7 linked regions of the Xenopus tropicalis genome follow. The protein of the gene in region 6 binds, or shares a complex with, the protein of the main gene of each other region. Links are inferred from orthologs where the notes say so. Each region holds a gene or a part of one and is shown on either strand. Other genes may lie near its edges.

Region 1 (4,458 bases), about 2.5 Mb from region 6:
CCTGTAGGGGCACCGGGGGCAGACACAGCTCCTCCAGGACCAGGGTGCCCAGCTTGCATAGTCTGTCCTAACACCATATTGCCAGGGTTAGGCTGGCTCTGCTGAGGGGGCTGGATAATAGTTTTAGGGGATTCCGACTTGATCACCGGACTGGGCTGATTGTTCATTTGCAGCGAGACCCCGGCAGGGGCGGACAGAGGGGAATTGATCACAGTATTGCTCCCGTTCTGAGTGGCGGGCACGCCCTGGTGCAACAGAGGTCTCACCAATGCCACGCTGGTGGGTACGCCCGCCATGCCAGCTTGCTGCCCAGCTGCTCCCGCAGTGGATGTGGATGAGGAGGAGATGACTGAGGATGCCACGTTAGTAGTCCCAAGGAAAGAAGTCTGGATAACGGTGTTAGCTCCTGGGTTCACTCCACCCTTAGCGACAGGAGCCGGTCCGTTGTTTACCAGGCCGACAGCGGCATTGCTGTTCCCCTGGTAGGGGGTTCCGTGACCCCCAGGTCCGTGTGAATTAATCACAACATTACTCCCATTCATGGTCTGTAGGGTGGCATTTTTGCCATTACCTGAACTGTGGTTGGGCAGAGTGGAAGCCATGTTGCCCAGAACCCCAGATTTGGCCTGGCTAAGAGCTCCTGGTGCTTCGGGTATAGCAGACTGAGTCCCGTCAGGCTGTGCTGTGGTCTGTGGGCGGCTGTTAATGACACCTCCTTGTACTCCGGGTACAGCGGCTCCTGTGGGAGAAAAAGGACATTTTTTTTTAAACAGCAGGGAAAGAAACAGAGCTATGGGGTATACACCCGCCGGAATATACAGATAGCCACCCCTGTGCACCCACTCTGGTCCAGCACTTGGTTCCACCAGCAAACGCCCACTGGACCCCTCAGAAGCGGCATTAGGCAACCCCACAACCCAACATGCCACCCAGAAATCCAAACCATTCCAAGAGAACCCAATGATGCCCCCAGGAAGATTTACCCCCCCCCCCCCCCTTGTAAGTGAGCGGCATATAGACGGTGCCCTCAGTGCCAGCTCCCCAAGTACACGGGGAACATACCCCACATAAGGCAATTTCACCCACACCCCCCCAAATGACCATATAGTGCCTCTTGCCCCCCAAGTCCATTTATTAAGGCTCATTATAGCCCCCAGAAAATCCCAGGTATCTAAGTATCTACAACAAGGCCATCAGTAGCGCCAAAAGTTCATGTGGACCCCCAAATCTTCTCCTGGGGCACAAACTGCCCCCTAATGATCCACACAGCACTCATCTCCCCACAGTCACCCCCAAAACCCTAAAATGCCACAAATCTCTAGTCTGTTGCCACCAACAGCTCCATTAGTCCATGTGAGACTGGCCAGAAGGCTGCCCAGGGCCCAGTATACCCCCCAAATGCCCCCAGGCTGCCCGGTTACCCCAGGAAACTGCCGGGTACCCCAAATATCCAGTCGCCAGCCACCAACAGCTCTACGAGTCCATGTGAGACTGGCCAGAAGGCTGCCCAGGGCCCAGTATACCCCCAAATGCCCCCAGGCTGCCCGGTTACCCCAGGAAACTGCCGGGTACCCCAAATATCCAGTCGCCAGCCATCAGCAGCTCTATGAGTCCATGTGAGACTGGCCAGAAGGCTGCCCAGGGCCCAGTATACCCCCAAATGCCCCCAGGCTGCCCGGTTACCCCAGGAAACTGCTGGGTACCCCAAATATCCAGTCGCCAGCCATCAGCAGCTCTATGAGTCCATGTGAGACTGGCCAGAAGGCTGCCCAGGGCCCAGTATACCCCCCAAATGCCCCCAGGCTGCCCGGTTACCCCAGGAAACTGCTGGGTACCCCAAATATCCAGTCGCCAGCCATCAGCAGCTCTATGAGTCCATGTGAGACTGGCCAGAAGGCTGCCCAGGGCCCAGTATACCCCCAAATGCCCCCAGGCTGCCCGGTTACCCCAGGAAACTGCCGGATACCCCAAATATCCAGTCGCCAGCCATCAGCAGCTCCAGGAGTCCATGTGAGACTGGCCAGAAGGCTGCCCAGGGCCCAGTATACCCCCAAATGCCCCCAGGCTGCCCGGTTACCCCAGGAAACTGCTGGGTACCCCAAATATCCAGTCGCCAGCCATCAGCAGCTCTATGAGTCCATGTGAGACTGGCCAGAAGGCTGCCCAGGGCCCAGTATACCCCCCAAATGCCCCCAGGCTGCCCGGTTACCCCAGGAAACTGCCGGATACCCCAAATATCCAGTCGCCAGCCATCAGCAGCTCCAGGAGTCCATGTGTACCCCCAATTCTATTTCCTATGGGCCAATGTGCCCCCCCAAAGCCCTTGGCCCCCCTCCAAGTCACTCCACAGGCGCCAAGTAGTACAAGTATCCAGTTTTCCAAGAGCAGCAACTCCAGAAGTCCATGTGGGGCCCCCAGAGCGTTTCCCGGGGCCCATCACACCCAGCAGAGCCCCTGAAGGCCCCCAGTCAGCCCGCCGGCCGCCAAAACATTCCCGCGGCCCCCCTGCCCGCTCAGCTCGGCGCCCCCAGGCCTCACCCGTCTTAGGCACCTCCGGGGAGAGCCCTATCTTGGCTTCAGGCTGTCCCCCCGCACTGGCTGCCCCTACCCCCGGGCTGGTGACATGGTTAGCCAGGGCCTGGCTGCGGGCCTCGGCGGGGGGTTGCTGCTGGTGGTGGTGGTGATGATGGTGCTGGTGGGCCGCGGCGGCCAGCTGAGACTCCAGGGATCCCACCAGCTCGCTGACCACTTTATCGTCCACGTCCGTGTTGAAGAAAACCTCATCCAGTAGATCCGAACCCGCCGCCATCTTTACTCCGCCGCTCAACTCAGGAGGGCAGCAGCTCTGTGCGCCTGCGCGGCGGGGCAATTACGTCACACCGGAGCGGCGCTCCCATTGGCTGCTTCATGGCTACATAAGGAGCGGGCAAATGGCTGCGAGCGGTATTGGGAGGGCAGGAGGGGATCGAGCGGGGTCGGTGGAACGGGAGGGAGGCACAAAAATAGGGGGCGGTCGGGGAAGGGTCTGCGCGGGAAACCGGGTGGCGTGGCGACGCCTGAAGCGGAGAAAGTCGCCCCGCCACAGAAACGCGCGCTCTTTGTCTGCTCAATTCAAAATGGCTGCTGCGGGTGTCCCGCCGCCACTCCTGTCTGCCGCCCGCTGCGGGTTACCGGGAGGGAGGGGGCGTTCCTGTCACCGGGTGGGTGGGACACCTCATACAGGGCTCGGACAAACGCACTACTGCCGCTTGTGGGATCCGCTGTCTACCGACCGTGCCGCTTAGGCGGAGGGGCATGCTGGGAGTTGTAGTTTTACAACTAATGTGGTTCCCGTGACTATGGGCAGGGAGAAGCTTGTGTATCTGGGAAGGAGTGTAGGGGGGTGTAAATAAAGGGGTATGTGGGTGGATAAGAGGGGCATATGGGTAAATAAGTATATATATCCCTTGGGAACTGAATAGCTATCCCAGTAGAGTTGTTGGGGGTGTAATGGGGGTTATAGGGGGTGAATGATTACCCTAGGGCAGTGTTTGGAGGTATAAGAGCCAATAAGTACCCCAGTATAGTATCTGGGCAGGGGTATTGGGGTTATTATGGTGATGGGGGAGTTAAAGCCAAATAGAAATTCTACTAGATTATTTATTTATTTATAAGAAGTGGTGTAATGGGGACTAAGTACTCAATGGGCCTTGGGAAATGGACATGGCCGGGGGTTAATGTGACTGCCCCATTGTGGGGTAACAAACTGGGCAACTAGAGAGGGTATGGGGCTGTATAAGGGATAGATACAATCTACATGGGGTGATGATTTTCCCTGCACAGTGTTTAGAGGGTTAATCCCCAATAAATGATAGGTTAGTGGATCTACAAGTCATGACTGGAAACTGGATCCCCAAAGGATCACTGGAGGGGGGGGGGGGGGTGATCAGGGGCCCTGCAGGTTTTGTCCAATGAGAAGAATTCTGTCCCTTAAGGTTCTGGAATGGGTTCTGTTAGGGAGTAGGCTCTGATTCTGTATCCTCCCTCTATCGGATTTCTCCTCAATACTTTATAGAGTGCCTGTATGGTACCCAGCACTTTACAGAAGAGCTTGCAATCAAAGGGAAACCCCAAGCAGTATTGGGGTCCCATGTTATTTTATGTACCAAAGAGTAAGAATGTGCCACTGGCCTCCTGTTGTGAGGCAGCGCTAAAACACAAAACGTTAACCTATTATATAATGGAAGACTGCTCCTGCTCAGCCATTGGCTAGGTGGTGCCGGTGCACTGTCCCTTTAATTCCCATCTGGATATATTATTTATACAGCACCACGAGTGCACACTGTGCGGTACAAAGCATAAGCATAATTGGCTTCTGTCAATATGAAGCCGTAGGGCATTTTCCACTAAACAGCATTATGAGTTGCGGTGTAGGTTTTTACCTCATTGGGGCTTTATCCATACAGTTGGGCATTTTCT
Region 2 (4,426 bases), on a different chromosome or scaffold from region 6:
AGAGGTCACCCCTTTAGATTAGAGGAAAGGAGCTTCCATTTGAAGCAGCGTAGGTGGTTTTTCACGGTGAGGGCAGTGAGGTTATGGAATGCCCTTCCTAGTGATGTGGTAATGGCAGATTCTGTTAATGCCTTTAAGAGGGGCCTGGATGAGTTCTTGATCAATCAGAATATCCAAGGCTATTGTGATACTAATATCTACAGTTAGTACTAGTGGTTGTATATATAGTGTATGTATGTGAGTGTATAGATTGGTAGGTGTGGGTTAGGTGTGCTGGGTTTACTTGGATGGGTTGAACTTGATGGACACTGGTCTTTTTTCAACCCTATGTAACTATGTAACTATAACTAACTATGAAAAGGAAAGTAAAAATCACTGGGGGTGGGGGTACCAAGTTTTTAGGCACATCCTAGTGATTCTAATCGGTTGCCTGGTAACCTGGGCCAGCTCACCTCTTCTTAAATAAAGAACAAAAATTGAGAAAATAAAGGACATGGCTCTCAGTATACAGTATCCCAGACTAGCGCATTTTATTTTTTTAGAGAAAATGGAAACCATCCCAGGGTTCACAGGAAAGCCACTAATGGCTGACGAAAAACCTAACAACTTGGCACCCCCACCAGAGCTTTTACCTTTCCTTCTCCTTTAAGTTTGCATTCCAGCAAAACTAATTGTGATATCTTGTTCTACAAAACATTCAGCCAGGAGCTGCAAATGCTTTCAGTTATGACAATGTTTTTAATGCTAAATGTATTATATAAATCACAGGCTTACCACAGTCAACATTCAGTGGACAATGAAAGCCAAACTCACTGGGAGTTATTGCTACCATTATTTCTATTGACTATATAAGCATTATATTCTGCATTGCTGTACAATAAATTGATGTATAAAATTGACCATACAGATTACATGTAAAAATACAACCGAAAACAGATACAAGATGTAGAGAGGGAACTGCTAAATAGAGCTACAATCTAAAAAGGGTTGCCCATTTTTCTATGGGTAACACTGAAATTCTTTTCTGAAAAATATTGTCTTAAATTATTCCTCTAAGTTCTTTGAGCAGGGAGACATAGGTGAGGCCATGACAAAAAGGTGAATAAACACTGTCTAAAAAGCAGCTATGTTCCCAAATGTATTTAAGGAAAAACAACATTAAAGAAATATGGTCTGGCACATTTCATATTATGCACAATTGACTGGCTAGATATTTTTCTGCTTCATGGCCTTTCAATAATCCCAAAGACAGCATTACCTAAAGACTATGCATATGCGCAATTACCTGTAAACACAGAAGAAATTCAGGAGGTCCACATTCAGCACATTTAATGTATGGTTCCATGAGATATGATGAACACCCTTTGCAGGGTGGTTTGTCAAAGGGATCACCTAGAACAACATTCAGATTACTCTTTGGGTATCACAGAAAAAGCAAATTGAATATATATTATTACATAATACAAATATCTAGATAAAAATGTAAACCCCATGTACAAACAATTCACCCTTAAAAGGGTAAGGTACTTCTTACTGCTTGCTGAAAAGACAGCACAGTCCTGCTCTGGAAAAATCAACCCTAATAAAGTTTTTCAATTAAACTGGAAGATCTGAAATCATATTTATTTTAAGGGTTATGAAATACTTGCAGGTGTGGGGTGACCTGAAGCGCTGCCACTGATCAAGATGGTAGGTTGTGGGGAAAAAGTCTAGTGCATCACTGCCCTTATAGTTTAAAGCAGGGGTGGGCAAACTACGGCCCGCGGGCCACGTCCGGCCCCTTGGCCTTTTTAATCCGGCCCGCCGACGACGCCAAGTCTCATCACGCGAGACTTGGTGTCATTGGCGGGCCGGAATTAAACAGACTAAGGGGGCGTAAAGCTGGCCTGGGGGTAAGTAAATGTGGCCCGTGAGCCAAAAAGTTTGCCCACCCCTGGTTTAAAGTGATACTGACATGAAAAAATATGAATCTACATAAAAAGTTATTTATGTTGATCATTTTTGCCGATAGGTTTGCTTTTAGAAGTAATTGTTACTTAAAGTTCCTAAACCTGACTGTCCCTTCTAAGCCTGTCAGTTATAGCTTCTAATGCTAAGCTGCTGCACAAATATGGCAGCCTCCTCACAGGCGAACATGGGGGATCAGATAGGTAATGTAAAAGCATTGGACAAATACTTATGGCAAAATGATAAAAGATTATGCAAAGGGTTTCATTTCTGGTGTCAGTATCTCTTTAATGGTGTGTTTACTTTGCCTCAGTCACAGCTTTTCTTCTCCACTCTCTGAATTAGACAAAGTTCTTGTGGAGTCACATGAGCACCAGGAAATACACAGCAATAATGCACACGTTTTTCAGTAGAAAATAACATTACCCACAACTACGCTTCTTCAAGTACTACACAGTTAAACCTTTATTTTGTCCTTTTAAATTATTTTCAATACAGTATATAATAAATTTGTGGGCAAAGTGACATTTTTCCTCCAAATATACTATGCAAACATTATCCTTTTAAAGGTAACATCATATATTAATACATTTACTTCATACAGTAAATAGCTGATACCTGAGCATTATTGTACAACGCAGTTCTAAATACAGAGGTGCAGCAGTGACTCCCCTCTATCGACCACTGGATTTACTGTATTATCACTGCCGATATTGTGCAAGGCCCACTCTGTGGTACCATAGGGAGCAACTGATGCATACCGGCTTCCATCCATCCCTTCCCCTTTTTCTTGATACACAGCGCTTACTGTACACACTATCTCTGATGGTACCCAGCATACACGACTGTTGCACTGAAATTTGCAATTTGTTTTGTACAGTCCGCGTAAAACTGCATAGTGCACACCGCCACCCTCCATCCCTAGTGTGCCCGTACACTCACTCCCATATGGTGCTAGCCGGTCCATTGCTTTCCTTTCTTTCCACGCTGGTAGATGTTAGAATGGAGGCGGCTCTGATGTCACAGACACGTGAGCAAGACGTGGGCGGGAACTTATGACGATATACAGGGAGAGCATTCCTATCCCCTCTGCCTTCTGATTGGCTGTGCGGCCTGGCCCTGTGAGTGACGTGCTGTTCACTAGTTCTCTGTCGCCTGAATGGAACTGCTCGCTCCCTCTCCCAGCTGGATAGTAGAAAAGTAATGGGCTTTTTTCATCTTTGTTCTGCAGTCCCAATTCAGCCTTGCGCCTTGTACTAGGGAAAGTGCTCTTTCCCCAGCAGCTGTCAGTGTGCGCTGTGAGTTTGGGTCTGGATGACTGCTGTGCAGGGCAAAGACGACAAAATGCATACATTCTCTGCTGTCCAACAGTGGCCCTGTTGTCATGTGGCATGAATCTGCACACACACCTGCGCATCCGTGGTCCTAAGTCAAAGTAAACAACCTGTGTCATAAAGCCTAAATTTCAGTGCTGCTTTATCATTTAACTTCCTAGCCATCCACAGAAAACCCCTTTGCAATAAATGTCCATTCATATAAAGCCACACCATTCATAGCTGTTAGATTATGTTCAAATACTTAATGCATCTGTGCCTGATCTCAAGTTCCTTAATTAAATTCACACTTTCATTTCCTTGAATGTCTGACATTTACAAAAAAAATTCCAAGTCTGGGCCAGTAAAAGTCACAGCAATTATGACTTTTTCAAACTGTCACTGCGAAAACTCGCAATTTTCGAATTGTCACATCAAAACCTTGGATTGTTGCACAAAAAACAGCGTAAAATTTTTTAAACCTCTAAAGTTTTGAGACAAAGGAAGGATCTTCAAGAAAAAGGACCTCTGCCATGGATTTCTACATTATATTTCTCGATGGGTACGCACTCCAGACACGGGTGTAGGTGGTTAAGAAATTATTTTATTTACAATAATCCTGACACGCTTCGTGTCTTTCAACACGTAGTCATAGGTATGCTGGGTCTCTCTTTCATACGGGTCTGGGGCGCTGCGCCCAGACCACCGGATCAGTGGGGTGAGTGTCCATGAAAAAACTGTGATTCACTTGATATTTTAATGAAGAAATAGTTGTAAAAAAAATTATTTTCCCTGAGTGAAGGGTCCAGGGCAAGGCCAACTCTGTGAAGGGGTGAGCGAATGCAAATTGAGACTGGCTGTTCTAAATTTTAAATTAGGCTTAATGTGCTGGGTGGCTTAGAGCAAGTCTTGGTATTATTGTATTCTACATGATATTGGCAAGTTATAGCTTTGAATTGTTGGATTCGGATTTTTAGCCATTTTGACGCATAGTAAATCTCGAAAAAATTGTGACTTTTTTTTCTGCGATTCTTAGCACTAAAAAACCAAGAAGAAAAAAAAATAACTTGGTTAGTAAATGGGCCCCTAAGTCTCTAGTAGTCATTCTGATAAAAGGTTAAACCAGGTTACAAAAAATCCTTGATAAACACACTTTATAACTATCC
Region 3 (4,055 bases), on a different chromosome or scaffold from region 6:
AACTACAGAGGATTGTGGGAGCTGTAGTTCGGTACTAGGTGGAGAGAGAGAGGGGCGGGGGGACAGAGGATTGTGGGAGTTGTAGTGATTCCTTAACACCTTTCCCACTCCCAGCAGCCCTGCCTCTGCCTTATTAGCCCTAAACTACAACTCCCAGCAGCCCTGCCTCTCCCTTTTATCCCCCTATTCCCAGTGCTATTACAATAAATTTGCTGGTGTCACACTACTACTTCCAGTGGTGGCAGGGGTTCCCGCTGGCCCTTTATCTGGTTCCGGGGGTTCCCGCTGGCCCTTTATCTGGTTCTGGGGGTTCCCGCTGGCCCTTTATCCGGTTCTGGGGGTTCCCGCTGGCCCTTTATCCGGTTCTGGGGGTTCCTGCTGGCCCTTTATCTGGTTCTGGGGGTTCCTGCTGGCCCTTTATCTGGTTCCGGGGGTTCCCGCTGGCCCTTTATCCGGTTCTGGGGGTTGCCGCTGGCCCTTTATCCGGTTCTGGGGGTTCCTGCTGGCCCTTTATCTGGTTCCGGGGGTTCCCGCTGGCCCTTTATCCGGTTCTGGGGGTTGCCGCTGGCCCTTTATCCGGTTCTGGGGGTTCCTGCTGGCCCTTTATCTGGTTCCGGGGGTTCCCGCTGGCCCTTTATCCGGTTCTGGGGGTTCCCGCTGGCCCTTTATCCGGTTCTGGGGGTTCCTGCTGGCCCTTTATCCGGTTCTGGGGGTTCCCGCTGGCCCTTTATCCGGTTCTGGGGGTTGCCGCTGGCCCGTTACTGGGGGTTGCCGCTGGCCCGTTACTGGGGGTTGCCGCTGGCCCGTTACTGGGGGTTGCCGCTGGCCCGTTACTGGGGGTTGCCGCTGGCCCGTTACTGGGGGTTGCCGCTGGCCCGTTACTGGGGGTTGCCGCTGGCCCGTTACTGGGGGTTGCCGCTGGCCCGTTACTGGGGGTTGCCGCTGGCCCGTTACTGGGGGTTGCCGCTGGCCCGTTACTGGGGGTTGCCGCTGGCCCGTTACTGGGGGTTGCCGCTGGCCGGCAGTTAGGGCCAATTCAGTCAGACAGGAGAGCTGCTGATAATAGTTAAAGGGTAACAGCTCCCAGGGCCCCTCCCCCTCAGCCTTGTGTAGGGCACAGGGTACTGAACCTGCCTTATAATGGGGCATTACAGCGGGGCATGATGGGGTATTACAGCGGGGCATGATGGGGCATTAGAGCGGGGCATTATGGGGCATTAGAGCGGGCCATGATGTTCCTTTCTTGCTCCCCAAGGACAGAGAAAGAGGCGGAGATGGCGCTGGTGTCGGCGGATACGAGAATCTCTGAGCTGCTCAGTGAGTTGCACCAACTCATCAAACAGACCCAGGTGAGCGATGTGCTGCAGCAGCCCCGGCCCCCCCAGTGGGAGTTAGTGATGGGGCCCCCCCAGTGTGAGTTAGTGATGGGGCCCCCCAGTGGGAGTTAGTGATGGGGCCCCCCCAGTGTGAGTTAGTGATGGGGCCCCCCAGTGGGAGTTAGTGATGGGGCCCCCTGCAGGGTGGTTTATTCTGCCCCCCCAGTGTAAGTGAGTTAGTGATGGGGCCCCCTGCAGGGTGGTTTATTCTGCCCCCCCCCGGTGTAAATGGGTTAGTGATGGGCCCCCTGTTCCCCCCCCGCAGGAGGAACGCTCGAGGAGTGAGCACAACCTGGTGAACATACAGAAGACGCACGAGCGGATGCAGACTGAGAACAAGAGTGAGTATGGTTAGTACTTAGTGTGCGAGTGGCGCCGCCGGTGCCCGGGGCCAGTAACAACAACTCCTTCTCTCTCCCCCCCCAGTCTCCCCCTATTACCGAACCAAACTCCGAGGTCTCTACACCACAGCCAAGGCCGACGCAGAGGCAGAGTGCAAGTGAGTGTGGCCCTAATGCCCCTGTGTGCCCACGTTCTGCCCCAGGGCCTCCAGCCCTAATACCCCCATTTCTGTTTGTGCCCCCCCCCCCAGCATCCTGCGCCGGTCCCTGGATAAAATCGCAGAGATCAAGTCCCTGCTGGAGGAACGGCGCATCGGTGAGTTTATTGCCCTCGTCTGGGTATTCCCCGGGCGCAACTTCTGCCCCTCAGAGTGTAAATCCCTGTGCCCTCTGCCTCTCCAGCTGCCAAGATAGCCGGCCTCTACCACGACTCGGAGCCCCCCCGCAAAACCATGAGACGGGGCGTCCTAATGACTCTGCTGCAGCAGTCGGCCATGACTCTGCCTCTCTGGATCGGGAAACCCGGGGAAAAGTGAGTGCCCCCAGAGCCTGCCCCCAGTGCCCCCGTAGCCTGAGGGAGGGACCCGTAGCCCGAGTGCCCCCGTAGCCTGAGGGAGGGACCCGTAGCCCGAGTGCCCCCGTAGCCTGAGGGAGGGACCCGTAGCCTGAGTGCCCCCGTAGCCTGAGTGCCCCCATAGCCTGAGTGCCCCCGTAGCCTGAGTGCCCCAGTGCCCCCGTAGCCTGAGGGAGGGACCCGTAGCCTGAGTGCCCCCGTAGCCTGCGGGAGGGATCTGTACCCGGAGTGCCCCCAGTACCCCTGTAGCCCGAGTGCCCCCGTAGCCTGAGGGAGGGCCCGTAGCCTGAGTGCCCCCGTAGCCTGAGGGAGGGACCCGTAGCCTGAGTGCCCCCGTAGCCTGAGGGAGGGATCTGTACCCGGAGTGCCCCCTTAGCCTGAGGGAGGGACCCGTAGCCTGAGTGCCCCCGTAGCCTGAGTGCCCCCGTAGCCTGAGGGAGGGACCCGTAGCCTGAGTGCCTCCGTAGCCTGAGGGAGGGACCCGTAGCCTGAGTGCCCCCAGTGCCCCCGTAGCCTGAGGGGGGGACCCGTAGCCTGAGTGCCCCCTTAGCCTGAGGGAGGGACCCTTAGCCTGAGGGAGGGACCCTTAGCCTGAGGGAGGGACCCTTAGCCTGAGGGAGGGACCCGTAGCCTGAGGGAGTGACCAGTAGCCTGAGTGCCCCCGTAGCCTGAGTGCCCCCGTAGCCTGAGTGCCCCCGTAGCCTGAGTGCCCCCGTAGCCTGAGTGCCCCCGTAGCCTGAGTGCCCCCAGTGCCCCCGTAGCCTGAGGGAGGGACCCGTAGCCTGAGTGCCCCCGTAGCCTGAGTGAGGGACCCGTAGCCTGAGTGAGGGACCCGTAGCCTGAGTGAGGGACCCGTAGCCTGAGTGAGGGACCCGTAGCCTGAGTGAGGGACCCGTAGCCTGAGTGCCCCAGTGCCCCCGTAGCCTGAGGGAGGGACCCGTAGCCTGAGGGAGGGACCCGTAGCCTGAGTGCCCCCGTAGCCTGAGGGAGGGACCCGTAGCCTGAGTGAGTGCCCCCGTAGCCTGAGGGAGGGACCCGTAGCCCGAGTGCCCCCGTAGCCTGAGGGAGGGACCCGTAGCCCGAGTGCCCCCGTAGCCTGAGGGAGGGACCCGTAGCCCGAGTGCCCCCGTAGCCTGAGGGAGGGACCCGTAGCCCGAGTGCCCCCGTAGCCTGAGGGAGGGACCCGTAGCCTGAGTGCCCCCAGTGCCCCCGTAGCCTGAGGGAGGGACCCGTAGCCTGAGTGCCCCCGTAGCCTGCGGGAGGGATCTGTACCCGGAGTGCCCCCAGTACCCCTGTAGCCCGAGTGCCCCCGTAGCCTGAGGGAGGGCCCGTAGCCTGAGTGCCCCCGTAGCCTGAGGGAGGGACCCGTAGCCTGAGTGCCCCCGTAGCCTGAGGGAGGGATCTGTACCCGGAGTGCCCCCTTAGCCTGAGGGAGGGACCCGTAGCCTGAGTGCCCCCGTAGCCTGAGTGCCCCCGTAGCCTGAGGGAGGGACCCGTAGCCTGAGTGCCTCCGTAGCCTGAGGGAGGGACCCGTAGCCTGAGTGCCTCCGTAGCCTGAGGGAGGGACCCGTAGCCTGAGTGCCCCCAGTGCCCCCGTAGCCTGAGGGGGGGACCCGTAGCCTGAGTGCCCCCGTAGCCTGAGGGAGGGACCCGTAGCCTGAGTGCCCCCGTAGCCTGAGTGAGTGCCCCCGTAGCCTGAGTGAGTGCCCCCGTAGCCTGAGTGAGTGCCCCCGTAGCCTGAGTGAGGGACCCGTAGCCTGAGTG
Region 4 (3,830 bases), on a different chromosome or scaffold from region 6:
CTCAGTTACTTTTGTTCTCATTTGTTCCTCAATTTCTTTTGATCTTGGCATGATGTCTAGCTTTTGAGGTGCTTTTGGGCTACTTCTCTGTGTCAGGTAGCTCCTATTTAAGTGATTTCTTGATTGAAACAGGTGTGGCAGTAATCAGGCCTGGGGGTGACTACACAAATTGAACTCAGGTGTGATAAACCACAGTTTAGTTATTTTTTAACAAGGGGGGCAATCACTTTTTCACACAGGGCCATGTAGATTTGGAGTTTTTTTTCTCCCTTAATAATGTAAACCTTCATTTAAAAACTGCATTTTGTGTTCAATTATGTTATCTTTGACGGTTTTTGATGAGCAGAAACATTTAAGTGTGACAAACATGCAAAAGAATAAGAAATCAGGAAGGGGGCAAATAGTTTTTCACACCACTGTATATGGGGTTATTTGTGCAACCTTTATACAATGACAAGTGAAGCAAAGAGCTAATCGCTCTAAGGGCAAACATTGTGGCATGGTGTCTTTTGGTACTGCTCGTTTGTCAGTCAAGTTTAAGTCCCGGTACAGCAGCACAGAGACTGGATGGGTGGAGTTTGAACTTCCACTCTAGCCCATCCAATCCCTACGCAGCTTTACTGGGACTTGAAGGGGTTGTTCACCTTTGAGTTTTTGCAAATTTGCAATTGGTCTCCATTTTTTATTATTTGTAGTTTTTTAATTATTTCAGTTTTTGTCCGGCAGCTCCCCAGCTTGGTGTTTCAGCAGCTGTTTGGTTCCTAGGATCCAAATTACTGTAGCAACAAGGGTGTGGTTTGAATGAAAGCCTGATATATGAATAGGAGAGGGGCTGAATAGAAAAATATAAAGTAATAGTAATATAAAGTAAATAGTATAAAAAGTAATAGTAATAAAAAGTAACCGTAACAATAAAACTGGAGCCTCACAGAGCAATAGGGTTTGGCTGCCGGGGTCAGTGACCCCCATTTGAAAGCTGCAAAGAGTTTGAAGGAGAAGCGGAATAATTCAAAAACTATGAAAAACAAATAATGAAGACCAATTGAAAAGTTGCTTAGTATTGGCCTTTCTATGACATACTAAAAGTTAACTATAAAGGTGAACCCCTTTGAACTTCACTGACAAATGAGTCCAGAGCAATTGCCCCCCCCCGATGGCAGCACAAAATACATGGAGGGGTAGATTATTCTTTACTGGAGTTTAGCTTGAAACCAAAGCTGCCAGCGTGACTCTGGTCCTACGGAGAAAACGTCCCTAAACGCCTTGATTTTCTGAAATAAATCACCGCTTTATTGCAGCAGATTTAACCACTTCCTTACCAGAGGGCTGAGGCGACGAATCGACTTCGATGTTAGCAGAGAACCTCTCGCTCTGAGCGCCTAGGACTCCGACAGGCAATGACTGGTCCCCGGGCGCTAGGTCCCCCTCCAGCTCCTCGTTGATGGGGAAGGTTATGTCGGTGAGGGGCTCCTCTTTGATCTTCACCGGTTTGGTGTCTTCAGAGGCCCTTTCGGGGTGCACGATGTTCTCATACTCCTCCGAGAGCTGCTTGCTGACCTGTAGCGCCAAATACACAATGGGGGTGTATTTATTTATTATAATATACAAGTTTCAGCGAGTCATGTGACAGAAATGACATCATAATTTACAGTTTGGTCCCATAGGGAAATGACCAAACTGTATACCGTATTTTCCGGCGTATAAGACGACTTTTTAACCCCGAAAAATCTGTGCCAAAGTCGGGGTTCGTCTTATACGCCGGGTACTTACCTGCACCTTGCTTCCTGGCAGGGCTGCCATCAGGGGGGCATGGGGGGGGGACCATCTTCCCGGGCCCTGCTTCCTCCGGCTCCGGTGGTGTCCTCCGCTATGTGCCGCGTAGCCACTCCTCCTGCCGCTCCGGTGGTGTCCCCCACTATGTGCCGCAGCTCCCCGCTACTTCTGCACTTTTATAAGGTTGCGGCCCGTGCGTACTGACGTCACACGCACGGGGTGCAACGTTATAAAAGCGCAGAAGTAGCGGGGAGCTGCGGCACATAGCGGGGGACACCACCGGAGCGGCAGGAGGCAGCTGGGAACTGAAAGATGCTTGGGGGCCCTGGGGGAAGCTGAAGGATGCTTTGGGGGGGCCCTGGGGGAAGCTGAAGGATGCTTTGGGGGGCCCTGGGGGAAGCTGAAGGATGCTTTGGGGGGGCCCTGGGGGAAGCTGAAGGATGCTTTGGGGGGCCCTGGGGGAAGCTGAAGGATGCTTTGGGGGGGCCCTGGGGGAAGCTGGAGGATGCTTTGGGGGGGCCCTGGGGGAAGCTGGAGGATGCTTTGGGGGGGCCCTGGGGGAAGCTGGAGGATGCCTTGGGGGGTGCCCTGGGGGAAGCTGGATGATGCTGGGGGGGCAGAAGGATGCTTGAGAGGGGCCTGGGGGGAGCCGGAGGATGCTGGGGGTGCCCTGGGGGAAGCAGGAGGATGCTGGGGGTGCCCTGGGGGAAGCAGTAGGATGCTGGGGGTGCCCTGGGGGAAGCAGGAGGATGCTGGGGGTGCCCTGGGGGAAGCAGGAGGATGCTGGGGGTGCCCTGGGGGAAGCAGGAGGATGCTGGGGGTGCCCTGGGGGAAGCAGGAGGATGCTGGGGGTGCCCTGGGGGAAGCAGGAGGATGCTGGGGGTGCCCTGGGGGAAGCAGTAGGATGCTGGGGGTGCCCTGGGGAAAGCAGGAGGATGCTGGGGGGGAGCGGAGGGTTCGGTTCTGCAAGCCACAGGGTGGTAGTATATTCCAAACTCTATATTTTAACTGGAAAAGTTGGGGGTCGTCTTATATGCCCAGTCGTCTTATACATATATGAGTATGGGTTACCTGCAACATGTATGTGTGATAATCCTTAATACGCTGCTGCCAAAACTTCTGTAGAGACAGGACACTCCCGATGCCCATTTCATGGAAGACTTGCTCCACGGCATCTTGGAACGGCGTCTGCCCCAGTCTCGCTTCTCGGTCCACGTTGAATCGCAGCATCTTGGTAAATTTCAGGCAGTACTCGTGGGCAATGTCGGTCAGGGTTTCCAGAACACTTTCATTCGCGGACTCGAAGCCGGCGTGGGCCAGTATGGTGGCTACGGACTGGTACATGAGCTGCCGGCAGGAATGGTAACCGAGCTCTGTGACAGGTTCCCCTTTCCCTCTGAGGAATGAAAAATATAAAAATATCAGTCTCCAGTCTTGTTACATAAAATGTCATCTCTTCACCCGACTGCCATGTAAGCTGCCATCAGTGTGTTCTGGTAGATACAGCTTAATAAGTTCCTTCCACTCCCCCCATAAGCTTCATTCAGAGTGTTCTAGTCCCACCCACTGCTGGAGTCACTGACTCCCTGCCACATTCCCAGTAAATTCCCATCAGTGTTCTAGTCCCACCCACTGCTTGAGTCACTGACTCCCTGCCACACTCCCATTATGTTTCCATTTGAGTGTTCTAGTCCACTCAATGTTTGAGTCACTGACTCCCTGCCATAGTCCCAGTAAATTTCCATTAGTGTTCTAGTCCCACCCACTGTTGAAATCACCGACTCCATGCCTCGCCCCCTGTAAACTTCCATAAGAGTGTTCTAGTCCCACCCACTGCTTGAGTCACTGACTCCATGCCTCACCCCCCTGTGAACTGCCATCAGAGTATCTGAGTCCCACCCACTGCTTGAGTTACAGACTCATTGCCCCATCCCCTGTAAGATGATATCAATGTTCTAGTCCCCCCCCCCCCACTTCTTGAATCACAAACTCCCTGCTCCTCCACTTAAAAAGCTGCCATTAGAAGGTTCAGGTACCTCCCACTGCGAGGCACAAAG
Region 5 (4,627 bases), on a different chromosome or scaffold from region 6:
AAATCCTTTTCTCTATAGTCGTTAGGGGGACACAGGAAGAGTGGGGTAAAGGGCTCCTCCTACCAGGAGGCAGGACACTGCAGTGATGTCATAACTGTTGCTCCTCCCTCTTTTCTTTAACCCTTTTGCTTAGCCAACAGGGCTCAGCTTTTTAAGTGGACAGGAGGTTAGGCCTAGCCTCTAGAGAGGCTCTGCCTACTACCAAGGCCACGTTTGCCCACTGGATTAACGAGGCAATTAGGCTGTTCCTGTGTCCCCCATGATGTAAGAGAAATAGGGAATGTATCCTGTGTTATCATTTTACCCCTCAATGAAGAAACACAAAAACATATTCTTCCCAACGGTAAGTCAATCAGGCCTCACCGAGCTCACGTCCCAGATTTTTAGAGTTTTATCGTCAGAAGCAGAAACCAGGAGGTTGGAGTCAGAGGACCAGGCGACATCAGATATTCCCTGAATATAAAAATAAAAAGAATAAATAAATAAAAGTTTCACTAATCGGATTTGATTAAGGGGGTTTATATTTCTTAACCAGTGCCAAATTAAAACACATGAAATCCCCAAGCCCGTCTATAAATTAGGGAGGCCCCTGGGGAGGTGTCTGGCAAATGCAAACTCTAATTGGCTTCTGCTGCACGGCGCTGGGGGGATAAGGTGCAAAACAGTATGGGTTTAATGTTACACGAAGCAGACGCTGGTGGAATTTAAATATATGGTGCTACAGGAATTCAACACCGGCTAGACGCGAGCAATAACAACAAAAGGTTCTTACCAACTTGTGGCCGGATATGGTTTTTTCAAACTTGCCGTCGTACGCCCCCCATATTTTGATTAACTTGTCGGCCGCTGAAAAGAACAAAAAAGTGACACTGTAGTTTCTTTAGGGCAAAGACATAACGATAGGTGGAATGTCACTTACATGAACTGGCGAGCCACTCCCCGTTCGGGCTGAATTTTACAGATGATACGGCCTTGGTGTGTCCGGCGAGGGTGAACTTTAGCGTGTAATTTGGCTTTACTGGTGCAGGCTATGAATAGAAGAGAAAAATGGGGATTTCAGAAATGTATTTTGCAGACATTGAGGCAGAGAGTTGGGGGAAACAATAGTTTTAAAATAAAAAACAGCCCCCTACAGTGACAGGGAGCCCCCAGGGCAGGCAGCCATGTTGTATGTAACCGCTGCACAAACCTGAAATTTGTCACATTCAGCACCCACCCCCTATATTTCATCTCTCTACAAACATCAGAGCCGCGTATTGGAAAGTACCCAAAAGTTGGTTGAGTCGAACGTATTCATGAGAAACCAGAAACAATTCAACTTAAATTCATAAAACTCCCAACCCTGGGTGAGGATCTACTGCCATATTTCAGTATATGAATGAGGAATGAATGGATATTGGGGAGTTGTATCAGGAGTCAGAACCAGCAGTGCAGAGAAGGGAAAGGGACAGACACAGTGACAGTTACACATAACTATAAACCCAGTGAGAATGAGGGATGAATGGATATTGGGGAGTTGTATCAGGAGTCAGAACCAGCAGTGCAGGGAAGGGAAAGGGACAGACACAGTGACAGTTACACATAACTATAAACCCCAGTGAGAATGAGGAATGAATGGATATTGGGGAGTTGTATCAGGAGTCAGAACCAGCAGTGCAGGGAAGGGAAAGGGACAGACACAGTGACAGTTACACATAACTATAAACCCAGTGAGAATGAGGGATGAATGGGTATTGGGGAGTTGTATCAGGAGTCAGAACCAGCAGTGCAGGGAAGGGAAAGGGACAGACACAGTGACAGTTACACATAACTATAAACCCAGTGAGAATGAGGAATGAATGGATATTGGGGAGTTGTATCAGGAGTCAGAACCAGCAGTGCAGAGAAGGGAAAGGGACAGACACAGTGACAGTTACACATAACTATTAAACCCAGTGAGAATGAGGGATGAATGGATATTGGGGAGTTGTATCAGGAGTCAGAACCAGCAGTGCAGAGAAGGGAAAGGGACAGACACAGTGACAGTTACACATAACTATAAACCCAGTGAGAATGAGGGATGAATGGATATTGGGGAGTTGTATCAGGAGTCAGAACCAGCAGTGCAGGGAAGGGAAAGGGACAGACACAGTGACAGTTACACATAACTATAAACCCAGTGAGAATGAGGAATGAATGGATATTGGGGAGTTGTATCAGGAGTCAGAACCAGCAGTGCAGGGAAGGGAAAGGGACAGACACAGTGACAGTTACACATAACTATAAACCCAGTGAGAATGAGGAATGAATGGGTATTGGGGAGTTGTATCAGGAGTCAGAACCAGCAGTGCAGGGAAGGGAAAGGGACAGACACAGTGACAGTTACACATAACTATAAACCCAGTGAGAATGGGGAATGAATGGATATTGGGAAGTTGCTTGAAAATACATTTTCTTTAGTCAATATTTTATCTTGGGTTGACATCCCCTTTAACTTTTAGTATGTTACAGAATGGCCAATTCTTGGGACCTCTTACTAAAAGTTAATTTTCTAAGATGTATATTTAAGTAGGAAAAGAATATGTAACCCTTTGGATCCTATAACCCTACTACACTACCCACCTATAAGAGGCCCTTTATATTAAGGGTATATTTAAAAAGCCAGAGGCGGATATATTTCCCCTTTAACATTACCCTTTATAAGCAGGATTAATGATCCATAACTGCTGGATTTCACACAAAAGTAACACCCAAAGCCTTACTGGAAGCATCTTGGCCGCTCCACATGTAGAAGAATACCAACCTTGCTCTGATTATTGGACGAGGATGGGGTGGATTGCGTCTTGGAAGCTTCAGTTTCGGGTTTCTTTTCTTCTGTTGCCATGGTGCAAGAACTGGAATGGGGCCCCTTGAGTTAGCAGATGGCCACTCCCACTATGCAGGCTAGGTGTTTGTAAACAAAGAAAAGGACATAATTAGCAATATTTATTACTTATTTACTACTATTTGTACCAGAAGCCTTTCCAGAATAATGTATTTATATGTGGTATGGGGTTCTCCTATTGTGCACGTGTGAGCATTGTGTAACAGTACAGGCAGTAGTGGGGCTGTAGATTTTTTGGGGAAACATTGTGGCCAATAGGGAGACCTTTCTGAGGGGGCGTGGCTGTTTGGGATATAATGGTATGGGGGGCTATTGGTGTGGCTGTGGGGTTAAAAAAAGAGGATATATAAAGGTATGGGGGCTATTGGTCTGGCTGTGGGGGTATAAAAGAGTATCTATATTGGTATGGGGGCTATCCGTGGGGGTATGAGGGAGGATATATCATGGTATGGGGGCTATTGGGGTAGCTGGGGGTATGAGAGAGAATATAAAGGAAAGGTATGGGGGCTATTGGGGTAGCTGAGGGTATGAGAGAGGATGTAAAGGAAAGGTATGGGGGGTATTGGGGTAGCTGTGGGTGTATGAGAGAGCATATATAAAGGTATGGGGGGGTATGGGGGTAACTGGGGGTATGAGAGAGGATATAAAGGAAAGGTATTGGGGCTATTGGGGTAGCTGAGGGTATGAGAGATGATATAAAGGAAAGGTATGGGGGGTATTGGGGTAGCTGAGGGTATGAGAGAGGATATAAAGGAAAGGTATTGGGGCTATTGGGGTAGCTGTGGGTGTATGAGAGAGGAGATATAAAGGTTATGGGGGCTATTGGGGTATCTGTGGGAGTATGAGAGAGGCTATATAAAGGTATGGGGGCTATTGGGGTATCTGTGGGGGTATGAGAGAGGCTATATAAAGGTATGGCGGCTATTGGGGTATCTGTAGGGGTATGAGAGAGGAGATATAAAGGTATGGGGGCTATTGGGGTAGCTGGGGGGTATGAGAGGGGATGTAAAGGAAAGGTATGGGGGCTATTGGGGTAGCTGTGGGTGTATGAGAGAGATATAAAGGTATGGGGGCTATTGGGGTAGCTGAGGATATGAGAGAGGATATATAAAGGTATGGGGGTAACTGGGGTGTTTGAGAAAGGATATAAAGGAAGGTATGGGGGCTATTGGGGTAGCTGGGGGCATGAGAGAGGATATATAGGAAAGGTATGGGGGCTATTGGGGTAGCTGGGGGCATGAGAGAGGCTATATAAAGGTAAGGGGGGTACTGGGGTATCTGTGGGGGTATGAGAGAGAGATATAAAGGTATGGGGGGGTATTGGGGTATCTGTGGGGGTATGAGAGAGGAGATATAAAGGTATGGGGGGGTATTGGGGTATCTGTGGGGGGTATGAGAGAGGAGATATAAAGGTATGGGGGGGTATTGGGGTATCTGTGGGGGTATGAGAGAGGAGCTATATGGAATGGGGGGGTATCTGTGGGGGTATGAGAGAGGAGCTATATGGAATGGGGGGGTATCTGTGGGGGTATGAGAGAGGAGCTATATGGAATGGGGGGGTATCTGTGGGGGTATGAGAGAGGAGATATATGGAATGGGGGGGTATCTGTGGGGGTATGAGAGAGGAGATATATGGAATGGGGGGGTATCTGTGGGGGTATGAGAGAGGAGATATAAAGGTATGGGGGGTATTGGGGTATCTGTGGGGGTATGAGAGAGGAGATATAAAGGTATGGGGGTATCTGTGGGGGTATGAGAGAGGAG
Region 6 (3,830 bases):
ACATGTGTTTGGGAGGAGTCTGCTCCGTTCCATCTTCACTGTTACCCGGAGACAACTGCTGGAGAAGTTCAGGGTGGAGAAGGACAAGCTTGTTCCCGAGAAGCGGACTCTTATCCTTACACACTTCCCAAAGTGAGTGTGAGCCATTATCTCCGATAAGTGTTGATTCTTAATGGGGACCTGTCACCTTTAGAAATATTTCCAAATCCCTCTTTATTATGTTAGTTGAGCAAAATAAACTTTACCTACACTACATAAATTATATAAATCTTGTTTCCCTCAGTCTTACGAGTACACATTCACAGCAAGCAGGCAGCTGCCATTTTGTAAGCATTGTTGTTAAGGCAAGCTTTGCATTATCCCAAAATCTTGTTTAGCCTCAACAATCTGGCACCTGGTGCCCATGTACAGGATACATAAATACATCTAGGAAGTGCTGAAGGGAAAGTGAAAGTAATTGACTGACCTGCCTCTGTAAAGGTTTTTTTTTAACATTTATGGATGTTTTTGGTATAATTAAAACTGCCATCTATTTATTAACTAGGTTCCTCTCCATGCTGGAAGAAGAAATCTATGGTGAAAACTCACCCATCTGGGAGGCAGATTTTACTGTTCCAACCACAGAAGGTGCCCAACTAGTGTCTCGTCCAGGTACAATCTCTTTGTCTTGTATTGATATAAGGCTTGATAGATAATTGTCCATTTCTTCAGCTAACCTAAAATCAATTTTCTAACTCACAGGGTAATGGTCAAATTTTAATTCTATAATAAAACTTTCAGGAGTTAATAGAATAAAAGTTCCAACGTTTGATACAGGTGTGGTCACCTACAGCAGCCATTCAGCAGGTAACATGTACTGATTAGCTGCTTGAAATCAAACATCTAAATGGTTTCTGTGGCTTGCTAGACATGGCCAAGCTGAGTGCCATTTTTTTTACATTGTACATGATCCCAATATTGTTTAATCTTTGCATTAGTCTCTGAAATTAAGGATGTCATGCATTCTGGTTTCCAAGAAGTCAGTGTCTTCTCTGACCATAATAGGAAATCTGTGCCCAGTGTGATCAATTGAAGGTCCTCAATCAATCTAGCCATTCTACAATATGCTCAACTTGATCCTTTCTTGATCCTTTTTGGTGTTTTTTGGGATTGAGCTGCCTGTGTGTGACCAAATTTCATGTCATTTTATCGGGCCAGCCTCAACACTGAATCCTATGACAGACATTGTTTTAAACGAAAACAGTTATTACACTTATCGGAGAGACAGGCTTGTTAGTATAAATGCACAGAAGCCAGGATTCGGTTTGGCCTTTTTCAGCAGGATTCTGATTCAGCCGAATTCATGCTCGTGGCCGAAGCGAATCAAAATCCTTCAAATCGTTTGCCTTTTTTCACATAAACACGGAATTTGGAAATTTTTCTTAAACCCTTCCGTATCCTATTTTACATGCGCAAATTAGGATTATGTTGGCCGAATCATTTAAAAAGGATTCAGGGTTGGGGCGAATCTGAAAATAATGGGTTCGGTGCATCCCTACTTATTAGGCAGAGTGCATCTTTCTGTTTAGCAGGATTCATATTCTATATGTTGATGGAAATCCTGAGCAAATGTAGAATTGCAAAAAGGGGCTAAGCCCTAAAAAAACCCCCTCTGCTTTAGATTTAAAGTTTTAGCAGAATGTAAGCATTTTTGCTTGGTTGCTTTTTGCCTATGACCTATAAGAGTTTTGCCTGTGCCCTCATCCTGATTTTTTCTTCATTTTGCCCTTTAGCTGCTGTCAACACTACTTCAGTCCCCTCTACTCCTCTCTTCAACAACAATCTAAACAACAGTTCTTCTCTCTCGTCCAGTGGGGACACTAGCAGTTCAGAACCAATGCCAGGTATGTGTTGCTCCAAGCACACCAACACAAAGATTTGAAGAAGGCACATGTATAAGTGCAAGTCACACTGAACCAGTGTTCATTTAGTTTATATGTATTGATACACTGCGCAGCAAATAGCATATTAAATCTAAATGATTAAACCTTTTGTTAGTTACTTAATATAAATGTAATAAATATTGTTTTGGTTATTTTGTGTCAGTGCTACAAAGTAATGTATTAGATGGTTGTTTCTCAGCTTTACATCCACCCCTCTTGCCCTTGGTGCCATTGGTTGTAACACTGTGGGTTTGGAACCACAATGGAACCCCAGAGCAGTGACTGGGGGCGCAACCTCAAGGCCATATAAGTTAAACACTTGGGAGAATGCCCATTGGTCCTCCTTGTCCCGGAAGGTTCCATTTATTGATGGACATCAATTCTTCTGTGCAGGTGAGAAAAGGAAATTATCTGACAGCCTGACCTTAGAGGATGCCAAAAGAATACGAGTGATGGGAGACATACCCATGGAGCTTGTCAATGAGGTCATGCTCACCATAACAGATCCTGCAGCCATGCTGGGCCCTGATGTAAGCAAATGCTAACCATTGCTCTTTCTCTACTGTGCAAGTTAGTGCTTGTTTCTCCACTGTGCAGGCTATTTGTTTCAAGAAAAACTATTGTTTCCCCCATCTGGAGTGCGGGCTCTATTAGCCTGAACCTCAGGTGGGGGAAAACCAACATGGGGGTGATAGGTGCCCTGTAAAGGAATAGTTCTGTGTAAAAATGGAACTGGGTAAAATAGACAGACTGAGCAAAATAAGAAAATGTTTTCAATATCATTGATTAGGCAAAAATGTAATCTATAAAGGCTGGAGTGGGCAGAGGTCTAACATAATAGCCAGAACACTGCTTCCTGCTTTCAGCTCTCTAAGCTGTTAGCAGTCCGTAACCAATCAGTGACTTTAGAGGGAGGGGCCATATGGGACATAACTGTCAGATTACATTTGTATCTGGCCTGCGTGCTCACAAACTAACTGAACAGTTATGTGCCATGTGGCTCCCCCTAAAGTCACTGGCTAACTAAGAGATTAGAGAGTTGTAAAGCAGGAAGTAGTATTCTGGCTATTATGCTAGACATCTGCCAACTCCAGCCTTTATAGATTACATTTTTACCTAACTATGTTAGAAATATTTTTTATTTTGCGCAGACTGTCTATTTTACCCAGGTTCATTTTTACACTGAACTGTTCCTTTAAAGAGACATACCATGGTTCTGTAACAGAGTATTCCCAGGCTTAATGAGGGTAATATTCAGGTTCAGGTTTTATTGTCATCTCAACCACATAAGAAACTTACACAGTTGTTGATTGTCCCCTCTTGTCTACCATAGATATCTAAATAATTCATCTTTAATCTCGCCATTGCCTATCAGTTATGTCTGTTTCATCGCGTAAATATTCTTAATTCTTTTTGTACTTCTGTGTGCACAGACGAGCTTGCTTTCAGCCAACGCAGCACGAGATGAGACTGCTCGCTTGGAAGAAAGAAGAGGGATAATAGAGTTTCATGTAATCGGAAACTCTCTGTCTCAAAAGTCAAACAAAAAGATCCTTATGTGGCTTGTGGGTCTGCAAAATGTGTTCTCTCATCAGCTTCCACGGATGCCAAAGGAGTACATAACCCGGCTTGTCTTTGACCCGTGAGTGAATAAGAATTTCACTAAATACTTTGGTTACTCCTTAAAAGGGTGGTTCACCTTTACATTAGCTTTTATTATGTTATCATGTCCTATTCTGAGCAACTTTGCAATTGGTCTTCATTATTTTTTTAATTATCTGCCTTTTTATTTCTACATCTTTCCAGCTTTCAAATGGGGGTCACTGACCCCAGGAGCTAAAAACTATTGCTCTGTGAGCTCACAATTAGCACAACAGTCCTATTGGGTTAATTTTATGTTTAAATGAA
Region 7 (4,585 bases), on a different chromosome or scaffold from region 6:
GCATCAATTCCTAAGCACAAAAACTCTTGGCAGAATTGATATCTAAGCCTTGGAGGATCCCTCAGTGAGAAGAACTTTATCTCTTTCTGCCTCAAGCTGTTTGGTTAGATGAATTTGCTCCTGAAGTAGGCGGAGGTTCTCCTGCTTCCGACTCTGCCTTTGCAAGTCTTGAATTACTCCGTCACGCAGTCTCTGCAACCCAACAACAGACTTATTAACATCTACCCTTCAGCAGCTTCCATTCCATACAAAGAGTCATGAGTCACAACAGTGTAATTGTACCAGTTTATGAAATGTCATACTGGTAACATTCTATACCAATATTGTATAGCACAGGCGTGTATGCTGTCCAACATTTTCATATCAGGGTGCCCTTAAAAGAAAACTATTTTAATCTCTGTAATCTGTCCCTTCAAAAGTATGAATAAATACCTTCTCCACAGCATACAGACAGCATGCAGGTAGTACATAATCCACAATGCACTGCACTGTGATGTTCCTTTTATCATTGACATTATGTGTGCAGGGGATTGTGGGATTTGGAGGATGCAGGCTAAAGGCAGGCAGAGGACATTAGACTACTGTTACATTTTTTTTTTTTTTTGAGTTTTAAAGTAGTCAGCCAGATCAGCAGGAGAACAGGCTAAGGTAACTGTTCCAATCCATATTATCACATTAAAAATCATGAAAAGGCTGCATATTTTTAACTGATGTAATATTGCAACATTGCTTGAAATTATGTTTTCATTTTTTAAAAACTTTTAGTTGTGTTTGGTTGCAGTTTCCCTTTAGTTAACAAGGGTACAGATATATAAAAACATTGCTATGGCAGTCACCCAGCTAAAGCTCTAGGGGTCTTACGAACAGCAAGTAACCAGTGGTGTTATAGCTCAACCTATTCACCCTCACACCCATTGGGTACAAAAAAAGATTATTATTATTTCATTAGTGCTAGGGCCTCTCTCTTTTGGACTACAGTTCAACAGCTGGTGGACCATAGACTGGAACTATTAAAAGAAACCATTTCAAGAAGCTTTGCAATATACATTTATTACAAATTTATAATGGCTTGGAAGTTATCTGTATAAATAACTGCTATTAAAAGCAGTGTCTGTCCTTTTTCTATTCTCTGTCCTGGTGGCTCGGACTGTAACACAAACCAGCAGATTAACAGACCTGGGTTGTATCCTTATTGCTAAAAGTTATTTTTAAGGGACGACATAGTGTGATTGGTTGAAAAATAAATGTCACAATGTGAGCTGACACTCCAATGTGTCACAGTTCTCCAACTTTGAGGCTGGGCCCCTATGGGGACTTGGAGTGGGTGGCAACTAAGTATGTAGGTTAGTGAGGATATTAGGGAAAATCAAATGAAAGCCCAGCTTGAAGGTCAACTAGGGTGCAATTTGTGGTGGATATGTTTTGCTTCCTTGAATGATATAGCAATACATCTATACCCATTTCATTAGTTAAGGGGGCCCTGAACAAAGGTTAAATCTTTAACTGCAAATATTTGACAACCAATGCTCTATACTTTGGTCCATAAGAGACAAGTTATGTTTTCAGTTTGCAACTAAGAAAATAAATTCAAGTTTTGTTTAATATAAAAACTGCATATTTATAAACTCATCAATTAAATGGCATGAAGCAGGCAGTCTAATGAAGTAGAGTTTAAGTACAGTAACAGCCCAAGTATTAAGCACTGTGCAAAAGAAACTTTAATGTCGTGTTTGAGGTGTGAGCTGCGCAATCAAACCTGCAGCACTGGGAGGAGGAACACTGAGAAGGTACTGCAGGAACATGCCTGGCAACAAAATACATTTTATAAAAGGTTCCACACAGGCCTGCATGCCCAGGACCCTGCCATCATTGTTTGCCTGGAATAGTTTAATGGACATGTAAACCCCACACACAAAAAATTAAGCAGTGAAGCCTCTTTGAAATCTTTCAAAACCTGCCACTCTGGTTGTCCAGAGGTTAATAGTAAGGCTGCAACATCTCCTTAATCACTTAGATTTCCTTCTCCTCCTGTAACCCAATTGGGAATTTGCTTTGATTCCTGGCTTGCCAAACATGCTCAGTTGTTCTAAACTCAGATTACTAAACACACCCTCCAGTCCAGCAGCCAGTGAAGAGATGGCATTGCTGGTTCCCATAGAAACTCAGCTCTAGCTGTCTGCTTCAATTTTTTTCTCCTAACCTCCTCTCCTGAGCTCAGCTCAAACGAAGCAAAACTTTTATTAAAGACAGTTGAGCCTGTTTGAGCCTGTATTCTTGATGAAATGTATGCTGAATAAGGGTCTGTGTGTGTGTATGCTGTTTGCAGATAAATGTAACTGATTATGTATCAGAGGAAAAATGGCCACTGGGTGAAAGCTGCTATTTGCTTTAGGAAAATGTGATGTTGCTGGCAAGCGGAGGGGGGGATATATGCAGTACAAATGATGCCATCTGGGTGGAGGAGATGTGCCCAACTGATATACATTGTAGGCAAATGTAGGCTTTACATGTCCTTTAAATGTACGTATTTGAGCCTTTATCTGTACAGTATTGCACTTCAGATACTTCAGAGCCCTGAACTGCAATGTATGAATGGGGCTAAAATATCATCTTTATTGAGGGATAAATTCCATCTCTGAGCTGGGTTGTTCCTCATGTAGTGAGGGCAAGTAAAGTTGTTACTGTACTGAAATCAGAAATAATGCACCCCCATTCAGCCCCAGTGCAATAAGCATACAGCCTTACTGTACACCATAAGGAGTGGGAACATTTCAAATATAGTGGGTTCAATGTATTTACTTTGCTAGGATAACACTGATTGCCATGACCTTCATTTAGCATAATGGGCAAGGAGCAGACAGAGCATAAGTGCTAGCTCAGCTCCAGTTCAGGGCACATGCGGCGAAAGTAGCACATCCCTGCTACTAACCTCTCTGTCCAGTCTCTGCTTCACATGCACGCCAACCACCGTACCCACAGACAGCACCACAGAGATACCCAGCACCACCTTCGATATGGTAGACATGCCTGCAATAACGCAGGACCGGATGGGGCGGGGCGATTGTGGAACGCAAGAAGTTGCTGCGCAGCTGCAAACCGGAAGCTGGGAAAGAGAAGCTGCAGAATCCATTTTGGGAAAGGGGAGACGTTTATGATAAATATGTGGGTTACCGGCGGGAAATATATGGTTTATATTAGTTTGCATGTAAAGCGTATGACAGCTGTGCAATTACGTTTCGTTATCCGCTTTTACTAATATGTTACTTTGAAGGAGCATTTTGTCTGGTGTGGGATTAGATGAACGGGTGTATAAATCCTGCTTGATAGTATATGCGAGAGGCTGCACATATGTGACTGGTACTAAGCTTGCTTATTTCGTAATAAAGAGAAACTCACGATCAATAAAACGTGTGGTTATTTAGATTCCTGTGATTGGGTATCAGGAGTTTGCTAGTTATGCTGCTGGGGCAATTTGCAGGGCATGGAAGTAGCCATTGGGGCAGAGCTAATGTCCCGCTTGCAGCACATGGAAGCCACATATCTGGGTTTAGTAAAGGGGAAGGGGTTTGCACCTGGCAGGTAAATATTACAGTTTTATGCCAATGTTACTAACAGGGAAGAAAGAATATCTTTTCTAAAAAAGATGGCATTCCCAGGAAGGAGCCATATCAGTGGTAATTAGAAGTTAATGGGTCCCACACAGTATTTTCCCTTGATCTTCATATTTTAATAATGTTCATCATTCAATACATTTTATTTGGCCTTTTTAAATTTCTGATTTTGATATTAGAAAATGCCCCAATTTATGCCCAGGTATGTAACAGCTCATTAAATGGAATCCCGCAAATTGGGTTGTTGCAAATTTCACATATAGGCACAATACCACCTGCAGATAGATTTGTAGTATGATTAAGTAAACACTGAGAACCCATGTAAAAGAAATAAACACATGATTTAAAAAGTTTTATTGTATGTGTTGTATTGGTGCCAGGCAGCTGCCAATTATTATAACCTATCCCCCTACTACAATATGGGCTCGTACAGACAGAGGTTTTGCCCTGCGTTCCCAAGATGGCGTTCTTTTGTGTTCCACCGCCGGGCGAAACACAGCCTTTACTTCCCTGTCTTGCTGTACTCACATAGACATGTAAGCACCTAACGCAGGTAAAACACAGCATGTTGCGTTCCACCTGTGTTCAGCACTTATAAGTAGGAATGCACCGAACCCACCCTGACGGATTCTGCCAAAATCCCGAACCGAATCCAAATCCTAATTAGCATATGCTAACTAGGATTGGGAAAAAAAATTTTCCCCAGGCCATTTAACCCTTTCCAAATTCTACTTAGCATATGCAAATGTATGCTAATTAGGACTCGGTTCAGCCGGGACCGTGGATTCGTCCGAAACCGAATCCTTCAAAAAAAGCCTGGATTCGGCCCATCCCTACATATGAGCCTATGATTAAGTACCATAGGGTACGAAATGCGTAAGGCTAATTGCTATATGTGTTAGTACAATAAATCTTTTGTGATTTTACTTTAATGAATGACTGTTATTCAACTACCTCAACACCGGAGTGCCTGC

Evidence for each region.
Region 1: kat2a (region 6) and taf4 share a complex: the UniProt entries of both Homo sapiens proteins name them as parts of the TFTC-HAT complex. The link is inferred for Xenopus tropicalis from reciprocal best matches to the Homo sapiens genes KAT2A and TAF4.
Region 2: kat2a (region 6) and tada2a share a complex: the UniProt entries of both Homo sapiens proteins name them as parts of the ADA2A-containing complex. The link is inferred for Xenopus tropicalis from reciprocal best matches to the Homo sapiens genes KAT2A and TADA2A.
Region 3: kat2a (region 6) and sgf29 share a complex: the UniProt entries of both Homo sapiens proteins name them as parts of the ADA2A-containing complex. The link is inferred for Xenopus tropicalis from reciprocal best matches to the Homo sapiens genes KAT2A and SGF29.
Region 4: kat2a (region 6) and supt7l share a complex: the UniProt entries of both Homo sapiens proteins name them as parts of the STAGA transcription coactivator-HAT complex. The link is inferred for Xenopus tropicalis from reciprocal best matches to the Homo sapiens genes KAT2A and SUPT7L.
Region 5: kat2a (region 6) and wdr5 share a complex: the UniProt entries of both Homo sapiens proteins name them as parts of the ADA2A-containing complex. The link is inferred for Xenopus tropicalis from reciprocal best matches to the Homo sapiens genes KAT2A and WDR5.
Region 7: kat2a (region 6) and kat14 share a complex: the UniProt entries of both Homo sapiens proteins name them as parts of the ADA2A-containing complex. The link is inferred for Xenopus tropicalis from reciprocal best matches to the Homo sapiens genes KAT2A and KAT14.

The regions. Positions count from the first base shown.
Region 1 is NC_030686.2:4,389,786-4,394,243, forward strand, and holds the start of taf4 (transcription initiation factor TFIID subunit 4), read right to left. Parts: upstream 2,824-4,458; 5' UTR 2,810-2,823; coding exon 2,539-2,809; intron 740-2,538; coding exon 1-739. UniProt on the Homo sapiens protein: The TFIID basal transcription factor complex plays a major role in the initiation of RNA polymerase II (Pol II)-dependent transcription.
Region 2 is NC_030678.2:76,068,587-76,073,012, reverse strand, and holds the start of tada2a (transcriptional adapter 2-alpha), read right to left. Parts: upstream 2,926-4,426; 5' UTR 2,915-2,925; coding exon 2,890-2,914; intron 1,393-2,889; coding exon 1,286-1,392; intron 1-1,285. UniProt on the Homo sapiens protein: Component of the ATAC complex, a complex with histone acetyltransferase activity on histones H3 and H4. Required for the function of some acidic activation domains, which activate transcription from a distant site. Binds double-stranded DNA.
Region 3 is NC_030685.2:2,319,566-2,323,620, forward strand, and holds the start of sgf29 (SAGA-associated factor 29), read left to right. Parts: upstream 1-1,255; 5' UTR 1,256-1,274; coding exon 1,275-1,349; intron 1,350-1,641; coding exon 1,642-1,717; intron 1,718-1,802; coding exon 1,803-1,875; intron 1,876-1,968; coding exon 1,969-2,033; intron 2,034-2,119; coding exon 2,120-2,249; intron 2,250-4,055. UniProt on the Homo sapiens protein: Chromatin reader component of some histone acetyltransferase (HAT) SAGA-type complexes like the TFTC-HAT, ATAC or STAGA complexes.
Region 4 is NC_030681.2:5,368,203-5,372,032, forward strand, and holds part of supt7l (STAGA complex 65 subunit gamma), read right to left. Parts: intron 3,170-3,830; coding exon 2,845-3,169; intron 1,558-2,844; coding exon 1,320-1,557; intron 1-1,319.
Region 5 is NC_030684.2:8,199,459-8,204,085, forward strand, and holds the start of wdr5 (WD repeat-containing protein 5), read right to left. Parts: upstream 2,907-4,627; 5' UTR 2,864-2,906; coding exon 2,783-2,863; intron 1,029-2,782; coding exon 920-1,028; intron 847-919; coding exon 773-846; intron 454-772; coding exon 364-453; intron 1-363.
Region 6 is NC_030686.2:6,930,160-6,933,989, forward strand, and holds part of kat2a (histone acetyltransferase KAT2A), read left to right. Parts: coding exon 1-132; intron 133-544; coding exon 545-651; intron 652-1,772; coding exon 1,773-1,883; intron 1,884-2,315; coding exon 2,316-2,452; intron 2,453-3,355; coding exon 3,356-3,564; intron 3,565-3,830. UniProt on the Homo sapiens protein: Protein lysine acyltransferase that can act as a acetyltransferase, glutaryltransferase, succinyltransferase or malonyltransferase, depending on the context.
Region 7 is NC_030681.2:38,333,862-38,338,446, reverse strand, and holds the start of kat14 (cysteine-rich protein 2-binding protein), read right to left. Parts: upstream 2,987-4,585; 5' UTR 2,930-2,986; intron 193-2,929; 5' UTR 1-192. UniProt on the Homo sapiens protein: Component of the ATAC complex, a complex with histone acetyltransferase activity on histones H3 and H4. May function as a scaffold for the ATAC complex to promote ATAC complex stability. Has also weak histone acetyltransferase activity toward histone H4.